5 linked regions of the Tribolium castaneum genome follow. The protein of the gene in region 2 binds, or shares a complex with, the protein of the main gene of each other region. Links are inferred from orthologs where the notes say so. Each region holds a gene or a part of one and is shown on either strand. Other genes may lie near its edges.

Region 1 (6,788 bases), about 27 Mb from region 2:
TGTTTATTATGTGTTAACCATTTTTCCAAATTCATTGCTCTGAAAACTTTGGTAATGGAACAACTGCGCTCTCTGGCGACATTAACGGAACTATCGAAGGCGGTAGCGTTTTATTTGTACGTAATTTTATTTCTAACCTTTAGATATCCGTACTTTCGTCAAAAACAAACTCGATTTTACGAATTGATTGAGATTTTGTTATTTTTCTACAGTCTGTTATTTTGTGGACGTTAACGAACAATTTTACAGAAGAATGGAAGAATGGAGCTTATTTTGATTAGTTTTCGCCTTCTATCTCTCAAATTTTTAAATTTAGCGCTCTGAAGTGACATTTGGAGTTGATTGAGGTTATGTAATTTTTTTTTAACATAACCTAACTTTTACAACAAAAATGTTTACAAGAGAATGGACGAAAATTGGGATATAGAGTGCTCCGACGACGAATTTAAAGACATAAAAGGCCCTTGGGAGCCCCCTCCTGAAGTGATCGAAAAACTTTACGATCAATTAAGCAAGGGTGAAATTCCTGAACTGAACTGGAAATGTCCTGGATACCGTTCACCCTCTCCGGAAGTGGAAGAGCCGCCTCCGGTTGAAGTTGAGCAAAAACAGTAAAATTTATGGTTTGTGTTTACACAATTATTAATTATTGTCTGTAGGACTGAGGATAAGTCCGATTTTGATTTTATGGACGAAACTACGTCCCCACGCCTCAAAATTCGAAACAAAGGAGAGGAAGCACTGAAAGGCAGCGCCAAGAAGAAAACTACGTCTTTGGACGGTGTTATTAACAACATGCGGAGGCATAAACTCATACCGCAACAAAGCAACCATTGAAATAACATAAAACACTTCATAAATCTAGGAACTTTATTCTGAAATTAGCACAGTTATGTTGAATTGAATCAAAGAATAAATATTTAAGTGATAGTTATAAGCGTAAAGTCACGTAGAAATCGTCCGATTTCTATCTTTGAGGGGCAGGTTTTGGTTTAGGCATTTTATTCAACAGTCCTTGAATTTCTTTCTTCTCGTCGTAAGTCTTCCACAGCTCGAATAAATTAATAACGTATCTTGCAATTTCTTGAATTCGTTCTATGTCCACGTTCAGTTCGGCAAACCAAGCCTTGTGGTCCTTTTGCAAGATGACACAAGCTATTTGAAGACAGCCAATTGCAATTTGATATGGTGGATAAAGCAAACACACATCAGTCCTAAGAGAATCGTTCACTATCCTCCAGGCGAGAGTCAAAAGTTGATCTTCTTGACCCATGTCTTGCACTAGTTGTAAGAGAGGTCTATAAGGCTGATAGACGATCAAGCAACAGTCGAGGTTTTCTAACAAGTAGAATTCACACTCTAGGATGTGGTTCGTACGATATGGAAATTCCTGACTATAGGCGTAACTAAACTTATTTTTAACTGAAAATAGATTGTTTAAAAAAGCTAGTTTTAACTTAGCCTCCTTCGATCTTAGACGGCTTTGAAATTATTAACGACAGAATATAATATTAATTTTTGGATTTTTAAACTGTAATTAATTAAATAACCGCGAGAGGTCGCCCTGTTGAGTGGTATGTTCTGAATACGGAGGACTATAAGTTAGGAGACCAAAAATAGTACGGCAGAGTAAAACTGAGGGCGCTACGAGCGTTATACCGTCTTGTCGCCAAATCGTTTTAAATTAATTTAAAACCAACCAATTCATTAATAACGTGGAAAAAATGTAGAAATGTTTTGCACTCTTAACAGACTAAGAAAGACTGACGACTACAAGTTTCATGACAAACATGAGAATTTTTTTATTTAATTTGTGCTTTAAGAAGACGCTGCGAATACAATTAAAGATACAGAAAAATGTTAGGAAGAAATTTGTAGAGAATTAAACTGACCTGCTAAACAAAAACCTTGTAACTACTTTTACGTATTTTTAAGTTATTTCGTGATTCTTAAATTTTCTTTAAATCGCACCTTTATGTTATATGCTTTTGAACTTTAATGAAAAAAATTAAATTGATACGCAATTTTATAGACATCTTTTTAGAGCGCTATTTTTCAATTTAAAACAATTGAAATAAAAAAATTGCTGAAGTTACTAAGCAAAAAAGTCGTAACTACAAAAAAACATTTATTAGAGAAAATTGAACACTTGAAAGCTAGATATTAGCATATAAATTAACGAAGAACAACCAATGCTTATAAATACAGTGGCGCTAATAAGTATTAATACAACTCATTTTTTTATTAAATGTGTTCTCTTTCAATTATTATTAACTTTTACTTATTTTTTGGTAAAAGTTGAGGCGGCAACGAGCTATCTTTAGATAAAGACAAGATTTACAAAGCTGACCAATTTTTTTAGTGCGATATTTTTTTTACATAATAAATTAAATTAAATTAATAAATAATTAAAAATATTAAATTTGACTTTTGGGTTCACCAATGAGACTAGCTAGTCTTAATATTCCCAGAACAAATGGAAATTTTTTTTAAACAAATAATTCGATGAATAAATTTACTTTCAGGCATATACCAAATTTCAATTAATTTTGAACATTTAAAATTTTAATTCAGTATTGTCAACAGACAGTATTTCTGGATCAGTCAATTAATAATAAACAATACTTCATTAAATAGACATTTTTAATTTTAGTTTTGGAGCAATTTATCTCAAAAAATTAAACGATTGTCCGGTAATATATTTTTAATCTTTTCAAGAGTTTCTGTTTATAAAATTTGATCCCTAAGTTCAAAAAAATTCGACGTGACTTATTTATCCAATTTTTGTCCCTCGAATAAAAATAGTATATACTTATTTATATCTGTAACCGTATTCGCAGCGTTTTGAAAATTATGGGACAGAGTGCAAATTGGTAAAAGTTTGAAATTTTTTTAAATATAGTTTATGATAAAATTTTTGCATTATGTTTATGTCCTACTATTGAGAATTTAATGCTCTATTTGCCTGTATTTTTTTTGTTTGCTGTGTGTTAACCGTTATACAAATACAACCATTTTTTCAAATTTATTGCTCTGAAAACCTTGGTAATGGAACAACAGCGTTCTCTGGCGGCATTAACGGAAATATCAAGGACAGGAACGTTTTATTTGTACGTCGTACCATATCCTAACTTTTAGATATCCGTAGTTCCGAAGTTGGATGCTTTTCGGTAATTTTTTTAACAAAAACTTGGGAAAATTATATCTGGTAACTTTTAGACCAGCCATCTAAGACCATCACGGAGACTGTGACTTAACTTACTGACTGTCTGACACGTTGTAATTAACCTAGAATTGGAAATCACCCCAAATTCTTCTACTTTGGAGGCTAGAAAAATGCAAGTGGGGGCTAACAATAACGGATCGATGCACTTAAGTGAGTTTTTTGCATAAAACCTCTTAAAATAAACCGTTGCGGTTGCTATAACTTGCTGGCGTAGCTTCAACTGTTCGCCTAGTGTTTGAATGACTGAAAAAATAAATTAAGAGAGTTGATAATAACCTAATATAAATAATACCGCTAGCAAAAAATATAAATATTTTTTGGTACTCCTCCTCCGTGAGGAGTTGGAGATCATGTTGGCGCTCCCTAATTAAATCTTGTTTGTCCAAAAGCCACTGCTGGCTGGAAAAAATTCATTTGTGATTTTGGGGCCGTTTTCATATCGTAACTTACTGGTGTGAGCTTTGCCAAAAATTTCCAGCCATTGCACAAACTAATCTGAGTTGAATTAAATCACAGGCAATAACTTTAAGCTTCCAGTCAATTATTAATTAACACAAAAGCAAAAGAAACCGGTCAAAGAAACTCAGTCAAGTGACAAGTGTCAACCAATGGAACTACTGTGGTGTTTTTTAACCTACGACCTCTTTTATTAAAACTGTAGACCTTAGAATACTAAAATTAAGTACAAACGAACGCTAATTTTTCAGTTTTGTTATTTATTTTATTTATTGTTTGTTTCGTTCGAACCATATGATACGAAAATGTTTGGTTGATTTGAACTACTTCAAATGTCAAAGCGCCACTTGTGACAACAAACAAATTATTGTTTGTGTGTTTTTTTGTGTTGGGAATGGTGTAGGGGCTCGGGCCCCCAGTTTTCTTTTTTGGATTCTTATTTATTCAAAAATGTGTGCTTGTGTACAAGTTGTGTAAATAATCAGTGAGTTTGTGCGACATAACCTCTAAATGCTTCCAAAAATGAATCCAGTGTACGATTACATTCAGCGAAACCGGGTTTTGGCAAAAATAGAAAAAGCTCATGGAACTAAAGCAACGAATTTAGCGCTAGATGATTACGACCTTGTCAAATTTCCCCCCTTGTTGGTGAGCTGTGTCCACCTCTCATATCTAAACATTGGTCATAATCAAATCACTGAACTGCCCAAGTGTCTCGGACAGCTCAAGAATTTGCAAAATTTGTCTCTGGAGTACAATAACTTCGATCGTTTCCCTGAAGTACTCAAGGATTTGCCTCAGTTGATTACTCTAAACATAAGCCATAATCCGATTAAAGACTTGACTAGAGATATTGGAAATTTAACTTCGTTAGAAACATTATGGTGTAACCGTTGCTATCTGGAGTCTTTACCTGAAGAAATTGGTAATTTAACAAAGTTGGAAACCTTGGGGGCTCGGCATAACCTGTTAACAAAGTTACCAGATGGAATCTGTAATTTAGTGCAACTGAGGTAAGTATGACACTTACCCAAAAATTAAAGAATTTTAGTTTTCGAAAAATCGACAAATTATTTTTACTTTATTCCACTCTCTTGTGAAACAAGGTCGAATTTTATCAACGAAAAAGTAGTACGAGGCGAAGCCGAGTGTGTTAATGCTTTTGGTTGGATAAAATCGTATTTTATCCACTGTCTACTTTATGGTAAAACGGAATTTTGTCGCCTAGAAAAATATAGTTCGCAACTATTGTTGTTTTTAAAGTATTTTTTATTGTTAAATTTCTTAATGTTTATAATTGTTAATCAAAATAACTCAGTAATTCGAAATAATCGAAAAAAATGGAGGAGAAATAAAATTTTGTATTTTACACGATAAAATGCACCATTATCTTCTCAAAACCTTCTCATAGTTAAAATCAGATTTTATCGTCTTGTATAATAAATAACTATTATTCTCGTGAGATTAATTACTTATCTACTAGCGCCTACTGTGTAAACTTTCTAAAAAAACAGATACAATTAAATATTATATAATTTCATGATGCCTATTAATAAAAAAAAATCCACATAAAAGCACAGGAGAGTTCGATAAATTAGAAAATAATTTTCAATTTAACCTCGCCCTCTTGTGATGGATATTACTGTTGATTTTTTTCAGGTGGCTTACTTTAGAAGATAATCAATTGTACACAGTTCCTAAAGACTTCGATAAGTTACAGTCTTTAATACACCTCAACTTGACTGAAAACAAATTTCATTATATTCCCTCAAATATATCCAAATTAAAACAGTTGAAATACCTCCACTTGCGCTTTAACGAATTTTATTCGATTCCGGAAAGTGTACTCACTACAATGACTTGTGTCAAAATTAATTTATTACATAACCCATTGTCCTCGACTGGTGATATAGATGTGGTAATTTATTAATTGATTTCAATTGTGCGTAAATAAAATTGATTGATTTTGTTCCAGATGTTCCCCAATGTGATAACATCAAATAAACAATTAGAAGATGATACGGCGGTCGATTCTGACTCAAATTCCGATTGGGAAAATAGTGTAGCTAGTTCAGATTTGAATTATTCAGCTACGGAGTCAGAAAGCGACGATGAAGATATTCTAATAGAAGTCTCGAAGTTGTCAAAATTTCTTGTAACGTTTTGATTGTTTCAGGTTTTTCCTTACCATAAAGTATTACGAGATATTGTGGTTTATTTTTTAAATAAAAGTCGGTTACGCAAAAGTATATTTCTTTTTAAAGTAATTTCTTGGAAAAAATACAGAACTATTAAGCTTTGCATTCTTAGCAGACTGAGATAAAGTGACGATTAAATTTTCACGAGAAACGTGAGAAAAAAATATAAGATTTACGTTTCGTCCCACATTTTTCAAAACGCCGTGAAAACGGGTTAAGATACAAGAAAAATATTGGAAAGGAAATTGTAGAAAATTAAATGCCCTTTAAAAAAAATCCTCAATGATGTTTAAAAAAGTTTAAGCGACGGTTTCGTTTCATTTTACCACTAATAAAGTATCGGAAAATTAATTTATACCTAAACTATTGAAGATAGAAATATGGTGTCGTGGACTTTTTTTATAAGAAATTTAGTTAATTCTCTACAACTTTGTCCTTTATACTTTTTTCTTTAACCGTGTTTGCAGCGTTTTGTTAAATATGTAATTGGTAATTTAATAATCGTTTTTTCTTTTTGAATAAAGTGTTTGCACTATCTTTATTTTTGACTATGTATTAAGTTTTTAATCTGAAACTTATTTTTCCATTACAATTCTTACAGATGAAATTGAAGTATCGTCTACATTAATAATTTTTGTTAGAACTACTTTCAATTTCTTTACTTCCAAAATTAAGCTGTAAATTATTTTGAAATATTATTTAATAAGCATATTTTTTAGTATTACTAAATTTAAAGGCGCGTTCTCACGGATTAATTGTAGTTAATTAACAAAACTTATGACCTAATTTGATTATGTTTTTACGTTGATTTTCATTAAAGTTTTCTAGATCAAGTAAAATCGATCCGTGAAAACACACTTTAACAGACTTGTCTGACTTTAAAATAAGATGTTTATTTACTTAAGTAT
Region 2 (6,814 bases):
GCTGTGCGCGTGGTCAACTTGTGCCAACAGTTCGTACAAAGCACTCGTCAATTCCACTATTGCCACGTTAAACCGTTGCAAAAAGGGCCCCACAAGATGACAAACATAGAGAAACTGTTCTTCGGACCGTACCACAGCCGGTAAACACTCACGCGCCCATCGGGGCACACTGGCGATCTGCCCCGGACCAGCGTGATGCCAAACCGAATGAGCCAAAGCTAGCATATAACTAAAATTATTATGCAAAAGCCCAGCGTGGGTTTCTTTGAAATCGAACAAACGGAAGGGAGAACAGTCAAAATTCCACGTTTCTAGCTCGTTTAACGTGGCCACAAGTCGATCGTGTAGAACACTCCAGTAGCTAACTGGAAGCGCTGCCAGAATTAAACCAACAGCATTGACCCACTGGTGGATGTCTGACGAGGGAATTGTGACATAGCCTTTGGCCACGACGTCTAGCAAACCGTTGGCTACGGCCACCGGACCGGCGGACAACGCCATCAGTTCCACACAGCTGGTGTAAAGAATATGAGCCCCGGCGTTTGGGAACTCATTGAACCGCCAATCAATTACGGAATTGGCAGTGGCGCCCCCTAGAATATCAACGACTCGCTTGACCACTTGTATGTAATAGTCCAGTTCGGGGGTCCACATCTCGTCAGCAGCTCGTCCGAGGTACAGTTGGTAGGGCTCCGAAAGACTGTCTTTGAGTGTCCCTAAGACAGCAGCCACCAACCGTCGTTTCAAAGGTGGACGGTCCCTAAGCCTAGTCTCGTAATAGTGCAAAGTGTTGTACAAATAAGTGACCGGACGGTCATGAAACTTGTACAAACAACCCAAGTGTTCTAACAGAATCTCCAAACTTTTGGTGACTTGCGGTATTTCCAAAAACCGGTGCACCACTATATCAAAAACCGGCAAAAAGCGCAAACACACGTTGCCAAAATAGGGGTGGTAACCACTTGACTGTTCCTCGGGGGCAAACTTCTCGGGGTATTTCCGGTGAAACTCCAAGTGTTTCTCGTGCCAGTTGGTCTGGTTCCAATGATCGGGCGAGTTGTCTTTGACGAAATCCTGCACCCGATTCCTAAACTCTGTAGCTTTAAGCAACACCAACTGGATGATGAACGAACAGACTTGAGCCTCGCTCCCTTCCTGCGTCCGCAGCGCCAAACACAAGACCAACCGATCGATTGTCACAATATTGTACTTCCAGATCATGTCATTGATCGTATCCACGCATTTGTTAACATGTTGCCCCCCAGGACTGTTACTAAACTCGAACACGAGACAATCACAAAACTTCCTCAAGTGGGCCGAAAGCGCCCTTGCCCCAATCCTCTCCAGGATTTTGTAGGCAATTGGCGTGATGTGATCAGTCTCGAGGAGCATTTTCCACAACAAACAGAGGAAAAGTGGGGGCGCTCCCGCAACCCCAAAATGCGCCATCATGTCATTTTCGTTGTTCATGGACGACCACTTCCGGTACTCCTCCTCCACTGCTTTCTTCAATTGTTGTTTGTTTTCTTTAGGGACGGCATGTTGCGTGAAAAACTCGGCCAGAGCCCTGGGGAAGCATTCGAGGGTGTGGGGGGCCCACGCATGGGGGGTACTTTGTGCAATGGTCGCCAGCAACTCGTGACACCACGAGCCGTCGGCCCCCGTCACGTGCGTGGCCCTAGCTAGGGTCAAAACCAGCGCCCGATTCAACTCTTCCGATTCCGCCGAAATTAACGTCTTGGGTTCGGCTAAAAAGCGGCTCAGTTCGGGCTGAACTTCGCCACTGCCCAGCCCCGTGATTAGACGCAAAGCGGTCGATTCGACACATAAGTGCAGTTGGGTTTGGTTGGCTTGCGGCACCGCTGCCAACGAATGCAAGTGGCTGAGTAACTGGACACGGTAGTGGGGGTGGATGTGGTGCATCCGATAACTAAACATCTCCAGAAGTGTGTAAAGGGTGCCCCAAGCGTGTGACTTGTATACGGTTGGCAACAACTGGCTTATGAACCCTTTGATGCCCAACGATTCGATCTCGGTGTACACCAACAGGCGACTGTACGTTTCCACCAAAGCTGGTGATAGTGGCATTCCTAACTTGGCCTGTGCTAGTTTAATCACGTGTGTGACAATACTATGGATTAAGCTCATTTTCGAATGCACAGTTAATGAGTCCAAGACGGCCATGCTTAAAGGCGCGGTAGGTGGGGCTGTTGATTTGGGGCTCCCTTGGATCGTCTCAACTAGCGCTGCCATTGGCTTACTGTAATAATCGGGGTTCGTTGAGTAGGCGTTGCACAACAAGGCGATTCTGTAGTCATTTCCCATCGCTAACACGGTGTTATTAGGGGGCACCAACTGTTGGAGGAAATCATGATGGTTGCGTAGTTTGGCGGGAATTGGCCAAGTCAAGTTGGTCATTTCGGCTTGCGCTTTCTTAGTCAAGTGGATCCAAATGCACGTCATTGCCATCTGTCTCGTACACTGGGGCTGGTTGAAGTCCGGAACGGGCAAAGGGGGCTCCTGTTCCGGAAACAACAGTTCGTAAAGCCGCAAAACTGGGAGGAAATTCGAGAGGGGGTTCTTCTGAATCGAACCGGAAATAAACTGCAAGAGGACCCACATGAGTTGGTCGCGCCCTCTCCGCAAGTCGCGCCCTTGCAGTCTCGAATGCAACGATATAACAATGTTTGGGAAACTCGCAAATTGGAAAAGAACAAAATAAATTAACTGGGACGACAAGTGCAGCCATAACCCTTGAGTGGCGCTCTCATCGCCCTCATTTTCCGTGCGTTCCAGCGCCAAAATCACCAACTCGACCAGTTGTTCCTCAAGGGCGGCACAGTGTCTCTTGTGCTGTTTCTGCAACCCTAACATGCCACACACCATGTCGCGACTGTACGGCTGTTCCAGAACGTATCGTAATAAACCGGTTTGCTTCTCTAGTAATTCGGGAGCGTACGGTAAAGTGCCCTTAAGCGAGAATCGCAACGTGCACGGGTCAAGTTTCCAGGGATTGACCAAGTGTTCGGGACAGCCGCTGTGCTCCACAACTGGCCGCATTTCCGCCTGGCCTACGATAGCCACCATTTGGGCACAGGCCCGAAAACTGCCAACGTAATCGGAGAAGAGGGCAGCAAGGCGCCAGTGGGGGCAGTCAGGGTAGGCCTTCTGGAGCTCGTTCACTAGGAGATAGCCAGGCAGGAGGCACGCGTTCCTGTCCATGATTCGTTCAGCGACGCTTAAAAGAGCCTGGGTTTGGGGCTGCAAGCCCGCGTTCAAGCGCCAGGGGAGACTTTTCGCCTTCTCGCAACATCCCTACAATCAACAATCAAACAATTACCACAACAATTCCCCACTTACTTTCATAATTTCGCGAACGCCCTTGTATTCAACCAAATCTATAATTTTCCGCACGAGTTTAAAGCACTCGATCCAGAACCGCGCATTGGTGTGTTGTAGTTTATCGAAATTCATCACCACCTCACACACGATACGGGCCCCAATGGTACCGTTGCGCACGACACTTTCCAGGAGCTCCATCAAGAGCTGGAGCTTGCTTTGGGAACATAGTACAGCAGTGTTGAGGTACTGGCGAAGGGCGGTGTCTAGCTGCTCCTGGGGGATGCTCCGCAGGGCTGTGTTCAACTCTTGTTGCCATACAGCCACCTTTTCCTTTTCGGCACTGGGGCGGTGCACTAGAAAGCAACTAAAGGCTTCTTCGATGCCTTCAACTTTGAGAATGTCGGTTAGGACGTTTGTTAGTGGCTCGCCCATCGTGTCCACGGTTATTTTTCAGGCGAAAACATTATTTTGTGGTTATTTGAATGGGATAATAACGGTAGGTTATGTTTGGCCGACTACATGTTTAGGCAACACATTATACAAGCGCCTAACACTGCAGAACCGTATTCGATTATTTTGACTTGCTGGGTGAATCCTCAGAGATAATAAATAATTGCGTGCGTTGTAAGATGTTATCAACTCTCAAACAACGTCAATCTAAATTATTCCATACCTAGCCACATTGTAATAAAATTCATATCAGCCCGAATCTATTCGTTTATTTGCATATCCACTTCATACGTGAAAATTTGTTTGCTTATCTTTTAATAAAGGCAATATTATTACCGCACGTCTCGTTCATTATGCGCTTAAAGAGTTCTTTTTGTCTCACATTTCGATATGAACTCACAGTTCATAGAACAGGTGAGGTGTCACTCATTTAAATCGTTTTAATTTATTTGTTTCTTCTCCCTAGGTGCAAATTTTAATGCACGCTCAACAAATTAAATGTGCGGAAAGTATTTTTGGGAAATCAAACTACATGTGGCTTTGCAGCAAAAGAACTCCCGTTATTTGGATGTCGACGAAAGATGAATTCTTAATTCGACAAGCCCTAACAAAGGTACAATTTAATTGTTGCAATTAAACGTGCAATTATCCTTCTTTAGGTCACTCCTGACCAACAGGTGAAAGTTATGAAACAATTATTGACTTGGCTGGATAATAATCCCGAAGTCCACTCTTTGAAAATCCCTGAAATGTCGCTAAAGCTCCTCAACAACATGGCTAATGCCAATGCCATGAATGAAAGGACTTTTTCAAGAATGAATAGTTTCAGAAACAGTCTGAGACGCTTGTCCTTAATTACGAACCGAATCGCTCCCGCAAACACACCCAGAAGATCCGTAACTTTCAACGACGTTCCCATAATTTACCGCATAAAATACTGACAAAAAAGTAACGAAACCTTTACAATATCTATGTAAAATTTGTGCCGAAATAAATGCACCTTAAAATTTTTGTTTTTTGAAAAATCTGAGTTAAAAATCAGGGTAAAAAGTCAAATTCAACGTTGTTTTTGATGTTTGAAAAAAATGCATAGAAGATAGGAAAATGACCAAGAAAACTAGGCATATACTTGATTATCATAAATTATTGCAAATTGAATGAACCCATTGGAAATTTCTAGCACTCCCTCCCTTGTTTGAAATTCTCCACGCGTCCGTGGCGCATGCGCATTTTCATCTTACGTGTCAAATAAACGTCAAAAAAGCGCCTCCCTTGCCCCTCTCCGCACTTTTCGGGCCAGTGTCGAGGCACGGACGTGTCAAAAACGCGTGTGTATGTTTTTCTGTTGAATTATTTCCACTTTTCCGTATTTTTTTCCTGTGAACGATGGCTCCCAAACAGCGGATGCGTTTCGCCAACGAAAAGGCCAGCAAGAACGTGGTCTTGCGAGGGAATGTGCCCAAATCGTCGGTGAGTACGCTGGACCATATTGTTTGTTGATGGGGAGCTGACGGTGCCCCTTTTGCAGAAGCAGCAAAGCGAAAACTCGCCAGTGGGGCCCATGATCTTGGCGCTGTTCATCTTCGTCGTGTGCGGATCGGCGATTTTCCAGATTATCCAGTCCATTCGGATGGCGTAGGCTAGGCTTCCCTCAAAGGCTCAATTCCTATCGTGTATAAACCGTGTCTGTTCAGTTATTGCATTTTGTTGTTTTCTCTATACTTATTTTGTAAATTTATCGTTTGTGGAATATAATTTTATCAGAATTTTTATCATGTATAAAGTGTATTTTTACATAAGTTGTACTAGAATTGGGTGGTACTACTTTACGCACAGATGCCTATAATGAGATTCTTTTGTAACCATTCCATGCTTAATTTTAGGAGACAATTTGTGTAATTACCATATTTTCAATGACTATTAAATTATTGAGTTAAAACCTCGTTTTATTTCATTGCATTACCTACACTCACAACTAGTTGTGTTAGAAATGGGGAGTAAAAGTAACAGACAAACAGTTAAAAAAAAGTATTACCCCTGTTACCTCACTGAAATTTCAAGTTCGGCAAATTTCATAAAGAAAAAAATTAACAAACAGATATAAAATCAGAATGTATGGTTTGTGGAGTGTATTTTGTGTTGCATTTGTGCCTAATCAGGCGCGGAATCTTATCAATATCTACAAAATTGTTATTTAAACCGATTTTATCAATATTTCGTTTTTTCTTTTAGCTCTAGCAATAATTTATCTGTTATCGGAACAAAACACAACAAGAGGATTGTTTTTGTTATCAATAGGTATAATTATTACGAACATACAATACTATTACTTCGTGTCATTTTTCTTCTACCGTTTTTCTTAATTTTATTCACATACAAAATAATTGAGCCTTTTCTCCCTAAACTAGGTTCTCATCTTGTGAAGAAAATTTGGTATTTATCGATAGCTTCTGTGTTCTGCATGAATTAAAAAGAAACAATTTCTACATTATTGTACCCTTATTACTAAGTACATACAATTTTTGGAAGTCCAAATACAGTTTGCAAGCATTATAAAAGACATAAAAAATCGAATTAGTTTAATTTTGGATTAATTTTTAATTTGCTTTCTGTAAACCAATCCTTATAATAATTATTATTAATTAATTACTTTCAAAAATTTTTTGTTATTAGTAATGTTTTTTTTTATACCAAACCACTTTAATAGAAATCGCTTTTGAGTTATTTATTTATTTATTTTTATTACAAAATGTTTATTTCATTTAATTTTTCTTTAATTCTAAATTTGAAACACATTGCCCCCACTCTAAAAAAAATGTGAATCTTCCTTAAACGTACATTTTATATTAATTTAAAATCTGTTTAACAACTTGTCTAGACAAACAACCATTATTTTTAGTGATGTAAATATAAAAACAATAGTTAGGTATTACCTAATGTATTTTATAAAAATTACATACATAACATTCACATGATTACCACATTTTTTATTAAGCAAATAAGATTAGTATTAACCAAATAC
Region 3 (5,150 bases), on a different chromosome or scaffold from region 2:
AGATTTTTTCATTGAATAACTTAAATAAGGTTTTGTCATAATTTTAAAGTAAAATGCAGTAACGACAATAAACAACATGATTACGTCCCAATTTGTGTGAAATTAAAACAGGAAAAAATGTTTTTAATAAATTAGATAAGTGAGAATTTGTCATGTCGTTTTTTTTTCAAACAACTAATTTGGATTTTATTGCCATATTCTTGTCTCATACACAAAGTGATAAGGAAAAAACAATATAACAAGTTAATTAGTGGCAAAAATATACGTATTTTTGATACAAAATTGTAAAAAATGAAGTTAGATAACAAGTGACATATTAATATAACATATAAAACCCACCTTGCTTATTCTGCTAGTCCACCCCATCCTAATGAGACCCGCAGAGGCCAAAATAATCGCTTGATATTTCCCCAACTCATCTAATTTTTTTAACCTAGTGTTTAAATTTCCTCTAATGCTTTCAACCTTGAGATGGGGGTACTTTCGGGCCAATTGTGCTCCCCTCCGTAGACTAGAGGTGCCAATGACGCTTCCCTCTGGTAAAGTCTCTAATAAATATTTGTCATGATCTTTTTGCAACACTAGAGCGTCCCGCGGATCCTCTCTAAATTTTACGAAAGCTAATTATAATCATTACAATAATAATTAAGAAAAACCTAGTCAAAACAGCCCCAATTGCCATTCCTGGAGGTAATACGGTTGGAAGATCTTTTAATGAGTGTACAACAAAATCTACACAGCCTGTACTTAAAGCTGCTTCAAGTTCTTTGGTGAAGAGAGATTTTTCACCAATTTTTGGTAACGGTATATCTAGGACTTTATCTCCTAATGTACTCATTGTTACTAAAAATAAATTTTTGAAATAAATAAATAAATTTTGGGAATTTTTTGCGAAACCTCACCAATTTCAAAATCCTTCCCAGGATGAATTTTTTTGAGCAGTGAAATCACATGTCGCGTTTGAATGAGAGCCAGCTGAAAATGTCAAATGAAAAAGAGCCCACAATAACAAACACGTGATAAATACCTCGCTTTTCCGGGATCCAACCCGGATTTTCTCAATCTCACTCATTTTTGTGCTTTTTCTCTCAAGTAAGGAACAATTACCGCAAACGCATGATTATGTTTTCATGCTGTTTTATTGAAAAAAAACTGCTTCATCACCACTATCACATTCTGCCCTACGTAAGTGCTGATAGAGGTGAACAATCAACTTTCCAAATTATGTAATTAGACAAAGACGCATAATAGTCTAATGTGTGGGAGTAAAAGAGAAAGACAATATAACCTCAAAATTGTTTTTATTTAATTTTTTCTTTACAAAAACTTTGAACCTTACAATAAATTAGCTTAAAATTAGGGCCTTAAACCGGGGGCCTTCCTAAATATCGTAAACTGCTCCAAATACTGATGAATTGTATCAATGGGGGTATACAACTCCTGCATCCTGTTTTGCAAATACGGTGGGGGCGTTGCAGGCACCGACGACCCCAAAAACCCCTGCAGAAACTCCCGCATCAACTCCCAACACATCGCAGGCACCACACATGGTCGATACTCTACTTCAACCAGAACCCCCCGAAAGTTCTGACTTACAGTCACTGTTCCCAATTTTACACAAAAATCACCGATTTCGTATCGCGGCCCCTTCGACTCGGCCTTAGTCTGTTTTTTTGATGAGTAAAAACCGGACATTTTCATCATCAGGAGATCAAAAAGGCCGTCAGTTGCGAGAGGAATGGTCTTTTGGCCTGTCTCAAGGATCGAAAAAACAGTCGCCGGCTGCTCGGAATTGTGAAGGACGTGGACTGTACGTTGGTGTCCCAAAGCGGCACAAGAAGTAAACGTTTCGCAATCGACGAGAAACTGGCCCTGTTGCAGGGCCCCCAGGGCGGAAATTCGCTTCGAGAGGAGCTCAATGGTGGAGGGCCCCGTGCGGTTCTCTGTGGGGAACTGTTGTAACACTGTGACCCCCATTTTAAGTGGATTTTTGGGGGCTAAATTGAGGTTATTATAGCTTAATGATCGTCAGTGGTGCCAACTTAGCTAGGTGTCAAAAATGCTACAAGTTCAAAGTCGTTGACCCCTTATCTCTTGAATCATAATGTAAACATATGTTTTATATTTACCGTATTTTTGGATTTGATTTATAACAATAAATTTTTTTGAAAATTGCGTTTTTATTTTGGTAAACCTTAGCTAACGAAAATTCCTAGTGTTCTTACGCGCCAAACTGCAACTTTCAAAGTGGTGGAATAAAATAGCGATTATTAAATAAAACTTTTATTATAAAAGTGTCATTTTTACAAATAAATAATTCAAGGCGAGGCTTTCTCACAACTTGACAGTGGCAACGTTCCTAATTCTTCGTCAGCAAATTCTTCAGCGTGTCTAAAAAAAAAACAAGATCAATGGATGAAAAAAAATTAGTCTAAATTAGCAACTTACTTTTGCTTAATTTTATAAATGTAAAATAGAACCATAAAATTTATCAAAAATAAAGCCGCTATGAGTAAGGCCGGTGCTAAAACATCTGAAAAAAAATTAACAGCAACCTAAACAAATCATAAAATGCGTTACCTGAAACCATTTCGATATTTTTCGATTTTCCGATGTCTTGAACAGTTAGCAGAGGCTTTTGTTGAAGTTTTTCTGAAAAAATGAGTAAATTTAGCCTTGTTCACGAGTCGCCGCTGACTTAATGAATGTGGTCTGAAGCGCAATTCCGCAATTTGATAACAACAAAACTTTTCATAATGATTTTTTTTATAACAATACAATATAACCTCAACTGCTTTGTCTAATTGGACGCTAAAAATACAATTACATGAAAAAAAACTCTAGAAACACTCACTATTTGCCTCGTTAGTGCAAACTCCTACAATTCTTTTTATCGCGAAAAACGCCTCTAGGTAATCCACGTGGTTCCTACACGATTTTCCGTTGACAACTGAGCATCGCGAGAGAGATAAAGCAATACGGGAACGTTTTGTTGAACGGAAACACCAACAAGTCAATAGGCAGAGGCGTAGACTCCATAATATAATTAGATTTTGTTTGGGAGTTTCATCGAATGCGAAATTGTTTTGTAGGGCTTACGTTCAGTTTATCTTTGTTTTATCCAAACTAGCAAACTCGCACAAAGCACGAAATGTGGAGTTTCGGCGTTATCTTTGTTCGCACACAACACTTTATCTCATTAAAAATTAAAAAGCGGGGTCGGAGGTCAATTCCATTTAGCGTCTAATCAAACTTACTAGTACAGTTGGGCAGAGGGAGGTCGACGTCCCACTTGGCCCCCTCGCAGTTGATGATTTTGGTTTTTTGTCCGTCGTCTTCAAAGGCCCGATTGATGCAGCACCTGTATTCTGCAGCTGTTTCGTTCCTATAGACCAGGTAGCCGTCTTCAGGGGCGTCGGGGGTGGGACACCCCACGGCAGTGTAGTGTATAAGCACGCCTCTGAGGGGCACTAGCGAATGGGCCGAGACCAGCACCACCTCCACGAACTCGCTCTCTGACACCACCTCCAGCGGGGGGTCTTGGGGCTTGCACGTGGTTTGGACCAACTGGCCCGAATCGAGAATCTCAAGCCGGTCGCTGCATTCATCAGGATGCGTTATCCTGTCGGCTGGATTTTTTTTAGCGGGGATTTAGGGAGCGCTATTGGTTTTTATTACCAGTGATGGAGATGTCCAAAACAGTGACACGAATGCGTTGCTCTCGAGGGGCTCGCAGCTTCCAGCGGCATTGTCTCTGGCTGGAGTAAAATCGGGGGTAGCCCGGGTTGTGGATAAAACCCTCGGAGGGGCCGGAGAGGAGGATCTCGCTGTTACAGAACTTCCTAATCTCGTTTTCTGGAAAATGGATGGGGGCTTAAAGCGGCTAATAATAGGGATTATGAACGTGTGTGCGGTTTTCGATATCCGGGAGATTGGGCGATTTTCACGTCGGTTATAACTACCTGATATGCAGACGTATTTGACCCTCAGCCGGCCAGTGCCCCACAAATGTGCATCGGGACAATCCTCGGTGAGAATGAAGCTGCAGTGATTCACCCCTGAGCACCTACAAGCAAAGCCACCCTCAGTCCGGCCCAATTAGCCATATGCTGTGATCTGAAGGGCGATAAGGGGCCCGCGTGACCGACTGTTACACTTTTCGCACGGATCGATGATGATCCGGCCCTGTCCTTGCTCGCCTTTTACGCAACCGCGTTGTCCTTTGTCACGGCTATACCTTGACTCAGACCGTCGAAATTTCGGCCTCCGACCCTGACCTAGACGAGGCCTCGACGAGGACGAGACCCAATTCGGGACGCCCTCGGCGAAGGCTGAGCCAAGGTCGGGGCCCCACGTGCCGACCGATCGATCTTTGGGGAAGATAGCGATAATTGAATCTGACTCATGCTCACACCGACATCAGATAACGCTAGGCTAGGTCAGGATCGGATATTTACACCCTACATTTTTTTCGATACCCACCTCTTGTTTAATGCTTGCCTTGGGTGTACTGGTGGAAAATAGGTAGGAACTAAAGCAGTGGTGTTGTAATCGGGCGTAAAATCGGCCTCCAGCACGGCGATGATCGACGATAGGTGACGGCAGGTCAAGTAGAGTTTGCAGGATTCACAGCCGCTGACGAAGACCGTTTCTGGGGGAAAAGGGTGAATTATGTAAGCAATGTAGGCGTGAGCCGTGTGAATGGGGCATTTGCAACCTTGCTCCGAATGGGCCATTGTGTCCTAAAGCCCTACAATGTTGATACGGACATTGGGACAATTGCGAATGTTCGTGCCGGATGGAGATTGCACAAAGGATCTATTTGCTGTTTTAATTAAATGTCGGATGATGGATTTAATGGGGGACGGAAGGTGATCGGGCTTTGTTGACACTTTTAACGAGAGGCAGGCGTTGGAACACGGTTTACAACTTATTTTTATATTAAAAAGAACTCGGAAGACAGCATTTTTTATTTATTTCGGATTTTAAATTAAAGCACTCATTTATGTTACGTAATTCTGCCCTATAATTAACTGAAGAAATTTATTAAAAAACTTCCAAATGAACACTTGATTTGCTGTACGTATATATAAACTGCTCAACAACTAAGCTGGATACTAGCAATTTTTCAGAAATGTGTATTAAACTGT
Region 4 (6,808 bases), on a different chromosome or scaffold from region 2:
ATCCAATACATCTGATCTCTAAAACAGCTTTATAAAAAAAAAAAACGGAAAAAGTTCTATAAAAACATCAGCTGAGATCGGATTTTCAAACTCATAGGAAAATTTTCCAATAGGAATCTAAATCATGCCTAAAATCCCATATAAAGTCTGATATAACCAAAATTTGATATTGGACTCGATGGAAAATATTTTCCTACGGGACCACATTTGCAACGTATATCATTAAATCAATTTATTCACACTGGCCAATAAAAAAAAGTATAAGTTCTAGGAGAGTCCAGTTGATGGACCCGACAGTTCTTGAAATACCATAAACCATAATAAGAAACAAAAGAAAAACAGATAATATTCTGTTCATTCTATTATATTTCATAAAAATTCGTAAAGAATTTTTTGATATGTAAAAAATCTCGGAAAAACGTTTGCGAGAAATCTGCAAAAATTTTAATGTACCATATTAGAACATAAAAACAACACAAACTATAAAATTACAAGTGAACAGTAATTACCAACGTTGCTTATAATTTACAATACAAATTTTCTTTATGCAAAAAAATTCCAACTAACTTTTATATATGTATTTTAAATGTTTACAGGATGTATTATGTACAATGCAAAACGCCGTAGAATGCATATTAATTTTTTATTTACATGAAAAACTACAATTTGGTCCATTGGACAATTGGACCAAAAAGAATAAATAGAAATAAATAAAATATTTAGAATAAATGCAGCCCAGGACTACAATGCAGGTGCTATGACTGGCCTTCTAAAGGTCAAAGAAAATCGAGAACAACCTGTGAGCAATGTTTAACAAGGTTTTTAGCGAACATAGTAAAAAAACATTATCCACGTATGGTAAAAAGACTAGTAACAATTTTCATCTTAAAAAAATGAGTTTATTTTTTTATGTTTAAACATGTTTGATTTGATTAATACAAAAGTAATTAATCATTTATCAAAAAAGCGATAAAAAATTGTTGAAGTCGAAGCTGGCAGTTAGCAGTCAACATTTAGAACACCTAGCAATTTTGTTTTCCCAACGGAATTTTTTCCCATGAGTTTAAGAATTGGGTCTGTGTCAGATTATGTACCAAACGGACTTTGCTCATTTTACAAATTAATATTTAACTGTTTTAATTAGTAGTTTAGGAGGTTACACGGTTTCGAAGTACGTAATACATTGGAGGAAAATGTATAGTGTACACTTTAGAGATAAATGAGATTTTCTTTATAAAAAATATACTGGCAATTAAAATTTATTTTTTTTAAACTCTGTTTTAAAAACTACATCACACTGCTCATATATCTTACATTAAAAAAATGGAGAATGTACACTTTGGAACTAGTCTTCTGAATATCCCTTTATCCCTAACAAAGGGGTGCACTAGTTCCGATACTAAGAGAAAATAGTAAATAATGTGTTTTCTGATAAATCTCTTAGTTTCTGAGATCGAAGAAGCCTTTTTTTGAACAGATGTTTTTTTGTTTATAAATACCTGTCCAGGGGAAGTACCGGCCTGATTCGGCTGCGACACCTGCGCAATTGAGGTGGTCTGTATCCCACTGTTGGGATTCTGCGACATCGACGTCTGAACATTTGGTTGCTGATTTTGCTGATTCATAATATTAATTTTCATTTGGGGTTGTTGCTGTTGCGAATTAAGCGGCGAATTATTCCCCACTAAAACACGCAATTTACCTCAAACACCTCAAAAACTTCTCTTTTACTTTGTCCAAATTGATTAACCCCAGTCCCCGGCATAGAATTCGGGGGTTGTGTCAGCTGTGCAATCAGTGCGCTACTTTGGGTGGTATTAACCTGTTGGTTGGGCGGCAGATACGACCTGGGCTGCGTTGGGGGCAACATAGCTGGCCATCTGGGCCGGTTCGCTTGGTGGTAGCCCGGCGGTGCGGGCAATTGCGGGATGTTCATGGGGTTGTTGCCCATCATGGCCCCTCGGGCGTTCACCATACCTACCATGCCTGGTGTAACATTTTGTGAGTGTTGGGGGGTTATACCTTGAGCGCTGGGCGGCCGATAGACGGGCGATGGGCCCACTCCTGAGGGAACCCCGGAGTTGGCGGACGAGGATGACGAGATGGGGCTGTCATTGCTGGCTAAGGGGCTGGGGAGAGAGGTTATAGGAATGGTAGTGTTAGAAATTTGGGTTTGGGCGGAAGTGGCGGTACCGGCAGGGGGGCTCAGGGGGCGCTCCTTCAGGCTGAAGCCGCGCAGGAGGACCAAGTGACGGGGGTCCTTGGCGTAGTTTTTCGTCTGGGAAGCGCTCAAATCACCGCCGGCTTTCTCGAACAGTTTATACAACGAGGGGATTTTGCGCGGCGAGATAATCGACAAATTGATATTTTTCTGAAAGTTAATTATGCAAATTTGGTGGAAGACACTTGGTTAATTACTTCTTGCAAAATAGCTGCTAGTTGCTCAGCTGTCTTCCCTGTGTAAGCATGAGTTTCAAAAACCCCTAGAGAATAAGGGGGCGAGTTACACACTAGAATACAATGCTTTTGAATGTTGCCGTTATTGTCACGTTTTTGCTGCAATTCGTCAAAACATTGAAGGGTTGTGGCTAAACCTTCAGCAATGTTTGCATGAGACTCGCCTTTACCTCCTATAAGTCTGAAATAATTTTTACATTAAGTGATCCTTTTCCTAGTTAGAACTTACTCAAGTTTGTCTATGGCATTTAATACCTTACTGGGGCTTACAAAGGGCCCAATTGTGTCGCTACTGGGGTGCGGTAAGCAATCAGCAGCCTGATACACCACAATTCCGTAATAAGAATTAATCCCTTCTGATAGGAAGTTGCTCTCATCAATACTCCCCTGACTAAAATATCTAAAAGTCCCTCAGTTACAAGAACATATTCTCCAATTAAAAACTACTACTACTACTTTTTCGTATCAGGGTGTAATTTTTATCATAACAAAGCAAGGTTACACTGATTTCTCAGTACCTCAAACCTTGTTCAACTATCCGTTCAGAATTCATCACGAGAAAAAACAGAGAAATAAAAGATTGGAAATGTAGATGTAGATACAACAAAAATGATGATATTTGGAAAGAAAAGTAGTATGGGAATTCGGAAAAGAGGATGAATGGCAATGGGAAGGAAAAATATAGAACAAGTGAAAGACTTGAAGTATCTGAATCAGATATGTACTGTATTATTTTAGTCAATCTTCACTATTTCAGTTAGAAGAGAGTAATAAGTAGCAAGATGTCAGACACAGCCCATATAAAAGAAGCAGCAAAAAAAAACAAATGGGGTTTTAGGAAATGTTTGAAGCTTGGGAGAACGTAAATTTAGTGAAAATTTCAAGAGAAAAATAATAGCTTAGGGAAAAGCACTGTAATGTAGGGACTATTTTGAGCAGAAGTGTGGGGATGGAAGAAATACGAGATCGAACAGGCTAAATAAACAAATGCCAGAGTACATAGTAAAAAAAGGAAGAGAAAAAAATTAAGAGTAGATTAAGGAAAGAGAGCGGTGGGATTTGAAGAGAAATTAAGAATTCTGCGTGAATGCAACAGTGTTGAACAGAAATCAAAAAAGCAAATGAAAATGTTAGATGGAAAGGACGAAAAGACTCCTATGAGAAGAAGGAATAAGTGTGTATAGAAATTAAAAGAATAAGAGAAAGGGGACGAACAATGGAAGAGGAACTGAAATTGAGAGATTTGGACATAGATAGGCAGGAAAGAATAACATGGAAAAAAGAATCGAGGTGTAATACGTAAAATATGCCGTGCTTATTGACGGATGAACTCCTCTCATACTTAAGGAAGATGTAAAGTAAAGATAAGAAAATCATAGCCAGATTTAGACGTAGAAATGAAAGCGAGAACGAATATTGGAGAGAAGATTGGGAAACAGTGTGCAGATTAAGCGGAGAGTGTCACAGTTTGTGGAGGTAAGAGTGTGCAAGTTTGATACGAAAAAAAGTTTTAAACGAAAATGGTAAGGGAAAAGAATGGATGAAAAAAGTGACGGGTGCAAAAGAAAATTGGGAAAGGTAAAGAATATCTAGAATATCAAATAACTTCAAGTAGGACTGTAAAGCCAAATAGGCAATAAAAACAATTTAGCAGTAGTAGAGAAAAACATGTAATACATCAGAAGTTACAAAAAAAAGTAAACTTACTCTAACGAAGGGATGATATAATTGGTTTTTAGGTCATTTATATAAGCACCATTCACTGCAGTTCCCTCGATAACAAAAACGATATCGGCGTGTAAGCCATGATCAGCTGGACACACAACCATTGTTTAGTCAAAATATTAAACAATTTTAATGAAACAATTTAATACAAGCACCAAACCCCGCCATATTGAAAATACCTGTCAAATTTTTAGGGATGTTACGTCAAGTTAATGGCAACACTTTCATTCAGATGAAATTTTATTTTAGCCAAATTATGCAAAAATGTTGTCTGGAAAACTAATCAATTGAATAGAATTATTAGTAGATTGCATTTAACCAAAACTACCTGGCTATTTTCGCCAGAAACTAATAAAATTTAATCCCAGACTGGGATTATATTTTTTCCCCTAGTGTCAGGCGTGTTGACGTCTGCCGTGAACAGCTGATTATTTGTCATCAAACACCGCAAACAGTGAATTAATGCGTCTTTACTTTATCTGAAATAGTGTAACACCATGGCATCGGCGCTAACGGACAAAGTCAGAGAAAGGCGAAGTCGGGTAGGTGCCAATGATTTAAAAAATCGTGCTTTAATGCCGAAATTTAGGTCCTCCTTGGTCCCCTCCCGGAGGATTTTCTCCGTATCAGCACCTCGGTTCAGCAACAACAAGAGGCAGCGGATCGCCAAACAGCCATAGCACTGCACCACCAGCTAAGCGGTGGCCAACAGTACACAAATGTCGTTGGGAGGCTCAGTATCACTGTTGCTCAAGCTAAGCTCGCAAAAAATTACGGAATGACCAGAATGGACCCCTACGCTCGGATTCGGGTCGGGCATTGCGTTTACGAGACGCATACGGACCCGAACGGCGGCAAAAACCCGCGATGGAACAAAGTTATTCACTGGTAAACACATCTCAAAAACTAGCAAGTCCCTACTTTTCCATTTCCAGTTTGTTGCCTCAAGGTATTAATACCATAACGTTAGAAATTTTCGACGAACGCTCATTTACGATGGACGAACTCATCGCCTGGACGCAGTTCCAGATCCCCCAACAGGTACTTGCAGGGGAAACCCACGAGGATTGGTACCCATTAAATGGGAAACAGGGTGAAGGTGTCGAAGGAATGATTAATCTCGTGTTAAGTTATCTAGTGTTCCCTTCATATAAATATCAACCACCGGCGCCTGTTATGGTGGTGCCCAACGTAACAGGGGGCAATGTCACACCCTTGAAGGTGTTTACAGCGCCTCCTACTGAAGCCGCGCCTGCTTTGAGTGAATCCGAGCTCAAACAAATCGAGGAAATGTTTCCAAATATCGATAAAGAGGTGATTAAGACCGTGTTTGAGGCCAACAGGGGCAATAAAGACGGTACCATTAATTCGTTACTTCAAATGGCTGAATAAATCAATCAGTAATCTCATTTACGCCATAATTAAACTTTAGTTGCGGATTCTAGTCGTAGCTTTTTAAAATTCCATTTTTTGTCATTTTTTAACTCATCAAGTGCCAAAATTTAGCCATGCTTTTTGGTTTGCTTATCGTGCAATTTTAATTTTTAACGATTTCTACTTGAACATTTCCATTGTTAATTCCAACTACGGGGGGCTAAAAGTTTTGGGAAGGGGTTGAGTTAAATTAATACGAAACCGACTTTATTTATTTGGTATAGAAAATTGAGTGATTCAGTCCTCCGTAATTCCAACTCATTGTTACTCATATTTTATCTACCATGTTATGTTTAATCGTTGTTGTCGCAGAATAAACAACAATAATTGTATTTAGTTACTTTATTCAATATCCTCTAACAATGTTATCAAAATACCATCAAAAGCATAAATTCTTAGTTCTACTCCATATTTGTTATATAAAGATTCATTAACAGTTGAATAGATTCATCGGGAACTTGCTTGAGTCGATCAACAATTTCCTTGAACATGGCTTTGGTTTGGTCTTGTGACGGCTCTTTACTGGGCAAAAGTTTAATAACCAATAAATAAATTGTTAGGTCTTTCCAATTTTCCAGTAAATTCAAACAAAACTTGTAAAAATCTTCATTCCAGTCGCCGTAACAACGCAAAAACGAGGCCAAAGAATTTTTCAATTCGCTTGCAAAAACGTTTACAACAACAATACCGTATTTTGGCACCAAAGTATTGAGAAGTCCAGCAACTGCGTTGCTAAATTTGATTAAATCTTTCTTTGCCTCGAGATTAAACAACGCAAATGAGATTTTTAAGTGTTCTTGAATCGCTTCGCCAACCCCAAACAGGCCGTGCCAACGGTCGGAAAATAATTGAAGTATTTGATAATCTCCCTCGTCTGTTTCCATCGTTGAAACAAAATTTGCAACAAAACGTAAAACTAACTGACGCGCGTTTTTCTCCTCTCCGAGAGTTACAAATGAGGCGGTTTTAACTTTGGTTAAAATATCGAAGATTAAATTTATAATATCGCTCGTGTAACTCGTGTGAAGTATGGTTGAGATAACGAAATCATTGATCGAGTTTTTGCACTTGGAGTTGCATTGTAGGAAATTGTTTGTGATAATTTCGGTCAGAAAATGCAAAGGGAAGTCTTTGAAGACATCCGAAGGGATTGACGATAATAGACTTGTCCTTTTCGGGGCTAAATCCTCCG
Region 5 (5,341 bases), on a different chromosome or scaffold from region 2:
TTCAGTGGCGTTCGCTGCGCCATCTGTCTGTTTTGGCGGAAATGAGCCCGGCCTTAAGGCCCCAACGTTGATATTCAAATTGTGTTTGAGTTTTCCTGGTTTGTTACTAGAAAGCGAAAAAAAAATAAAAAGATGGTTAAATTTGTTGTACTAACGTCTTGTTTGCGTCAAGCGGGGGCGGTTTCTCCACGCTTTCCTCCTCTTGAACCTGATTGGGGGTTTCGTGGTCAGGGGGCGGGCCTTCACCCTGATTGGTTGTTTCGTGGTCAGGGGGCGGGCCTTCACCCTGATTGGTTGTTTCGTGGTCAGGGGGTGGGCTAGGATCAAAAAGTGCTTTAGCCGACGTTGACGCGAACAAATCATCAGGTTCAAATAGCGAAAGGCGTGGTTTAGGTTTTGGAGACTCCGCCTCTTTTTGCGTTTCACGCCTATCGACATTAATGGAATTTTTATCGTCTGGAATTGCCATTAAATCGGCGAATAAATCGGTGGAATTTTTCGTTTCTGGTTTTGTTGGTGCAAATAAATCGTCATCGAAAAGACCAGAAGTGAACTTTCTTGTCGCATTTGACGAGAAAAGATCGTCTTTAAATAAGTCATCGTCGTCATCAAACAATGTCACTTTTTTCGGTTTGACACTTGGCTCCTCCTCAAATAAATTGACGCTCCGCCCTTTTTGTGGTGATTTTTCGTTTTGCTCATCGTCACTGGAGCTTGGCTGTCGCCTCAACAATTTTTTATCGAACAAGTTGCCACCGCCGAAAATTGAAACTCCGCCCACTGGTTTAACAAACTTATGGTCGTCGGGAACTAGAGGCTCATCACTTGGCTCCTCCTCAAACAAATTGACGCCCCGCCCCTTGGGTGACGATTTTTCGTTTTCCTCCTCGTCGGAGCTTGGCTGCCGCCTTAATAATTTTTTATCGAACAAGTCGCCGCCCCCAAAAATTGAAACCCCGCCCACTGGTTTAGCCACCTTCTTGTCGTCTAGGGCCGGCGGCTCGTCGCTAAACAAGGGCATTTTGACAGGATTTTGTAAATAAGAGGTGGTTTTTTTCGTAAAAATATCATCATCATCGCTATCGAACAAGTCCTGTTTTGGGGGTTGTCTCAATTCGGGTTTGGGGGTTGGGGGCGTGGCTTCATCATCGTCATCAAACAAGCCCTTACCCCCTGAAAACAACCCCTTAGGTTCGTCCAAAGGCGGCGGTTCATCGAAAAATAGGTTATCTGGAATTAGCGTTTAGTCTGCGGTCCGCTTCCAAAAACAATTACCGTATTGTGGCGTTTTCTGGATTGGCCGTCGATTGACGTACTCTTGATCAATCACGTTCCCCAATTTCGCCGCCAACTCTTCGGCAAAGTTGGTAGTTGGTTGCACCGGAACTGAGTTTTCACTATCACTCGAATTGACGAAATTTTTCGGTTCAGTTCGCAAGTCCTCAGAACTGGTATCAGAGGTGCCCTTGATCTGGAAAAAGAACCAGATATTGCCCATGGCGACTGGATCGCGACTAAACAAAAAATTCGGTTGGCCGGTTAATAGACCAATAAAATTATGATAATGAATGGATCAAGTGCAACTCAACCAGTGGAAAAACATGTGTAAAGTACCTGTGTTCTGTCGGGAATAATTGGCAACTCTGATTCTGAGTCGCTTTCACTGAAATTATCTGAGACTTTCTCAGTTTCGCTATCGCTGGACGAGTCCTCCAGGCCCACGTGCCACGTCTTTTGCCACTCTTCTGAGCCGATTACGTACGGAAGGGGGCGCTCCAGGTACAAGTCTTTGGGTCTGAGGACAAAACTGGAAAAGACAAACTAGTTTTTGTAAATTATTTAGAAAAAAATTACTTGGGCAAGTCGATATCGTCGTCTTCACTGTCACTGACCGACACCTCAACCTTCTCAAAATACGTCTCCAAGACCTCCAAACCCTTCAAAGCCGCCAACCTGATTTCCTCAGTCTTATCAACCTCTTTCTCCTCGGCTTTCGCCTCAACCGGCTCCTCCAAAGTCTCATCGTCCTCATAAACCCGACTTTCAATAAACTGGCTGTTTCGCAAACTTTGAAACTCGTTTTGGGCTATATTCAACTGGAGACTTGTCTCAGACAGGGAGCTTGTCAAATTTTGCAAGTTATTGTTGATTTCGGTTGTTCGAGTCAGGAGATTCTAAAAATTGAACGCTGAAACGGTTCAATGTGGGCCAAAAATGCGAAATACGTCTGCAAAAGCCTTGAGAGTGTTCAAAAGGGCCACATCTCCGGCTAAATTCCAATTGTCCGAATTTTGGATTATTTCGTCCATGGACCATGGTCGCTCCCACGGCTTGGCCCCGGACATTTCTAAAGCGCTGAACAGGCCTGTAATTGCTATTTTTCATTAATAATAATAATAATTTGACATCTGTCAAAAACTGACTTGGGGACTTTCAACTCGTGGGTTGGCTATTACTCCCCGGTTTTGCGTTATTATTTGATTAAATAAAACCAATTAATTTGTAAATAAAACCGTTCTACTATATTTGAAATCAGGCGTGATAACTAAAATGTAACTTCGGCCCGGTGGGATTAATTTACGCAGACTTTACCCAACCAGATTTGGGTTGGCAATCATGTGTGTTTGTTTTTGCAAGATGTCATTCACCTTCTAGTATTATTCTAGTTATTTCGTACGAATTAATATATTTTGTCGCATATTAAACCTCGGGAGATAACAAATTATCATCAGTGTTGGTTTTTATGTGATTTCGGGTCTTATCACTTGTCGGTGATTGGGTAACATAACCTCAATGGCCGATCGTTTGACCCAGCTCCAGGATTGCATAAATCAGGTAATTCCCCCTAAGACTGTACCACTAATTGCATTCGTGTTGTCGCAGCAAGCCGAGCATTTCTGCAACAGCATTGGGATTTTGCAACAGTTCGCCCCTCCTAGCAAATTCCCAAACTTCGACAGGAGTGGCTCCCAAACCCCCCAGCAACAGAACCAAGAAGACTACGTCCAGTTATTCACAACGTTGATTGCGCGCTGTGCCAAAGACATAGATACTTTGATTGAATCGCTCCCGAGCGAGGAAAATTCAACCGAATTACAGGTACCTATCTACAATGACTTGGTCCGACCGCGGACTAAACACTGTTTCAGTTGCAAAGCTTGCGAATTTTGGAATCAGACAATCAAGAGTCTGCTGAGCGTCTCGAGGCTATAGTTCGTAAAGGTCAGGATCTCTTGGAGCAAATCCAGGCGGCGTTGAGCGACATCGCCCAATCACAGCTGGACATGCAGCATTTGACAAAAGCGGGGAGTAAGGATAGTTAAGTGAGCTGTTAATGAATTTTATTTGCGGTTGTGATGAAAAACAAACACAAATAACCATGTACTATTTACAGAAACATATATACAAATAAAAAAGATAATTTAAATTTTATATAGTAACTAACTCGGTTTAAAGTCTGTCTTGTTTCCCTTTAATTAAGTGTTCCTCGACACGTGGCCGCGCCACACAGACACGGGATTTTCTCGTCCTCGATCGGGAATTTGTAATCGTAAGTAATTTCCTCGTTCACACCTATGCTCTGTTTCGAGTAGATCACTATTTTCTTTTGCGACTCGATTGTGATGACTTTGGCGTAGCAATTCGGCTGTAAAAATCATTTTTTCGGGTTATGGAAGACTGTCGCTTAGGAAACGAAACGAGATACAAAATCGTACCCAAAATGTAAAAATGAGGGCGCTTTGAGCATTATACTGTCTCGGCGCCAAGTCGTTTTAAATTAATTTAAAAACAAATGGACAAATCAAGAACACAAGAAAAATCCTACGAAGAAATTTATGGAGAATAAAATTTTCTATTACACGTACACCAAGAATCATTTAAAAACACATTGTACCTACACCGTTGAAAATGGAAATATGTTGTCGCAAACTGTTTTATAGGAAATTTAATTCTCTACAACTTTGTTCCTTACACTTTTTTCAACAAGCGATTTATTCTTTAAAATATTAAAACATTATTAAATTGTTCTATGTTGTGTATAATATTTTGTGGTTCCAAGATATTAACACGAAACTAGACTCACCACAAAATTATCGCATCACTTAAATTGCAAGATTTTGAGTGTTAAGAGATTGAAAATAGAACTGAAATTGATGATATAAGATAATAGAATTCTCAAGTAACTTTCACTTTTTTTAAAACATTTGGTTAAAAACATGGCTAGCTAATTAAATGTCAAATTATTAAAATTACAGCAGGTCGCGTAAAACGGAGGCAGTTATCAAAGCTCGAGGAGGTAATATCTCCGAATGCTAAACTTGCCTCAGTGCCCTTAGTAGACCTTATGCAAGCCAAAAAAAAAAAACCACTGATCCGAATGAAATTGACTTTTTGACTTTTTTATAATCATGTTGTTGACGTTTAGTTAATTTATCGTTAAGTAGTTAATTAATTTATTTTTTAAATTTGATTAGTAAAAAAGAGACTTTCTCAAGTGATGCGATAATTTTGCCGGTGAGTGTATAATTAATATACAGGGTTAGGCTGCAAAAATATCTTTTACTATGGACAGGTTTATACATAGAAGCGATTAACTGATCACGTGACCAAATTGAAACAATTTGGATCATCCGAATGCATTGTTAAGTTTTAACTTGTTCAATTTTAATGGATCTTTCTATAAATAGGTCTTATACCTCAAAAACTAACTAATAGCGTCGCTCTGAAATCAGCGTTTTGTTTTAAATAAGTATTACTTTCTTTTTTTGTCTATTCATATATTTTTTTATATTTTTTTACATTATATTAATTGTAGCTATTAAAATGTACATAGCGATAGTATGATATATAGTAATTTGGAAGAGATACATATTATTATATACAGGGTGTCTCAAAATTGACGCCCATGCTTTGGGAATTTGATTCAGGGGGCTAATACAAATCGAAAGTTAAGAGTAAAAAAATTTCCAATTATTCTTTGTTATCGAGTTATTGATAAAAATGGAAATAATAAGCTTTATGTTGTCTTTCCAATTATTTATGCAACATAATTCATTAGTTGATGTTAGCGATGTTAAAATTTTTTGAATCGCTTTCTCTAGTGACAAGTATTATTAATTTCCTTCGGTTTTGTATGTTTAAAATGATACAATATTCCTGCATTAGTGCATTCGAAATTTTGTCGTTATGTTAAAAGCTTGGCTATAAGTTAGGTGTGTGTATGATGGCAGTGCCACTGCTGAGGCTAGTGCATATGTGGAAAAGTTTCCAAATCGCATTGTAGCATATTTTGGGACTACAATTATGGTAAATTCGCTTTAAATAAAATTTAATATTTACA

The links.
Region 1: MED23 (region 2) and CycC share a complex: the UniProt entries of both Homo sapiens proteins name them as parts of the mediator complex. The link is inferred for Tribolium castaneum from reciprocal best matches to the Homo sapiens genes MED23 and CCNC.
Region 3: MED23 (region 2) and MED20 share a complex: the UniProt entries of both Homo sapiens proteins name them as parts of the mediator complex. The link is inferred for Tribolium castaneum from reciprocal best matches to the Homo sapiens genes MED23 and MED20.
Region 4: MED23 (region 2) and mediator of RNA polymerase II transcription subunit 25 share a complex: the UniProt entries of both Homo sapiens proteins name them as parts of the mediator complex. The link is inferred for Tribolium castaneum from reciprocal best matches to the Homo sapiens genes MED23 and MED25.
Region 5: MED23 (region 2) and MED21 share a complex: the UniProt entries of both Homo sapiens proteins name them as parts of the mediator complex. The link is inferred for Tribolium castaneum from reciprocal best matches to the Homo sapiens genes MED23 and MED21.

The regions. Positions count from the first base shown.
Region 1 is NC_087394.1:8,424,897-8,431,684, forward strand, and holds CycC (cyclin-C), read right to left. Parts: upstream 3,838-6,788; 5' UTR 3,709-3,837; coding exon 3,677-3,708; intron 3,626-3,676; coding exon 3,519-3,625; intron 3,470-3,518; coding exon 3,263-3,469; intron 1,423-3,262; coding exon 968-1,422; 3' UTR 857-967; downstream 1-856. Other genes in the region: Pa1 (PAXIP1-associated glutamate-rich protein 1), read left to right, coding at 406-611, 660-837; leucine-rich repeat-containing protein 1, read left to right, coding at 4,193-4,695, 5,342-5,600, 5,658-5,849. UniProt on the Homo sapiens protein: Component of the Mediator complex, a coactivator involved in regulated gene transcription of nearly all RNA polymerase II-dependent genes.
Region 2 is NC_087394.1:35,202,831-35,209,644, forward strand, and holds the start of MED23 (mediator of RNA polymerase II transcription subunit 23), read right to left. Parts: upstream 3,775-6,814; coding exon 3,361-3,774; exon of another isoform or gene 3,316-3,360; coding exon 1-3,315. Other genes in the region: stress-associated endoplasmic reticulum protein 2, read left to right, coding at 5,179-5,262, 5,321-5,431. UniProt on the Homo sapiens protein: Required for transcriptional activation subsequent to the assembly of the pre-initiation complex. Component of the Mediator complex, a coactivator involved in the regulated transcription of nearly all RNA polymerase II-dependent genes.
Region 3 is NC_087398.1:427,695-432,844, reverse strand, and holds MED20 (mediator of RNA polymerase II transcription subunit 20), read right to left. Parts: upstream 2,114-5,150; 5' UTR 1,978-2,113; coding exon 1,357-1,977; 3' UTR 1,285-1,356; downstream 1-1,284. Other genes in the region: Hmbs (porphobilinogen deaminase), read right to left, coding at 340-604, 657-843, 903-975, 1,028-1,072; uncharacterized protein LOC103313212, read right to left, coding at 2,319-2,391, 2,449-2,533, 2,581-2,652, 3,258-3,629, 3,679-3,855, 3,963-4,066, 4,483-4,651. UniProt on the Homo sapiens protein: Component of the Mediator complex, a coactivator involved in the regulated transcription of nearly all RNA polymerase II-dependent genes.
Region 4 is NC_087402.1:9,088,902-9,095,709, reverse strand, and holds the start of mediator of RNA polymerase II transcription subunit 25, read right to left. Parts: upstream 4,385-6,808; 5' UTR 4,287-4,384; coding exon 4,165-4,286; intron 2,858-4,164; coding exon 2,687-2,857; intron 2,639-2,686; coding exon 2,419-2,638; intron 2,372-2,418; coding exon 2,023-2,371; intron 1,978-2,022; coding exon 1,732-1,977; intron 1,685-1,731; coding exon 1,500-1,684; intron 1-1,499. Other genes in the region: toll-interacting protein, read left to right, coding at 4,680-4,724, 4,772-5,070, 5,118-5,574. UniProt on the Homo sapiens protein: Component of the Mediator complex, a coactivator involved in the regulated transcription of nearly all RNA polymerase II-dependent genes.
Region 5 is NC_087401.1:8,392,241-8,397,581, forward strand, and holds MED21 (mediator of RNA polymerase II transcription subunit 21), read left to right. Parts: upstream 1-2,605; 5' UTR 2,606-2,793; coding exon 2,794-2,835; intron 2,836-2,883; coding exon 2,884-3,099; intron 3,100-3,149; coding exon 3,150-3,323; 3' UTR 3,324-3,432; downstream 3,433-5,341. Other genes in the region: FAM21 (WASH complex subunit 2A), read right to left, coding at 1-106, 156-1,230, 1,276-1,471, 1,615-1,807, 1,855-2,174, 2,226-2,345; Set1 (histone-lysine N-methyltransferase SETD1B), read right to left, coding at 3,473-3,646. UniProt on the Homo sapiens protein: Component of the Mediator complex, a coactivator involved in the regulated transcription of nearly all RNA polymerase II-dependent genes.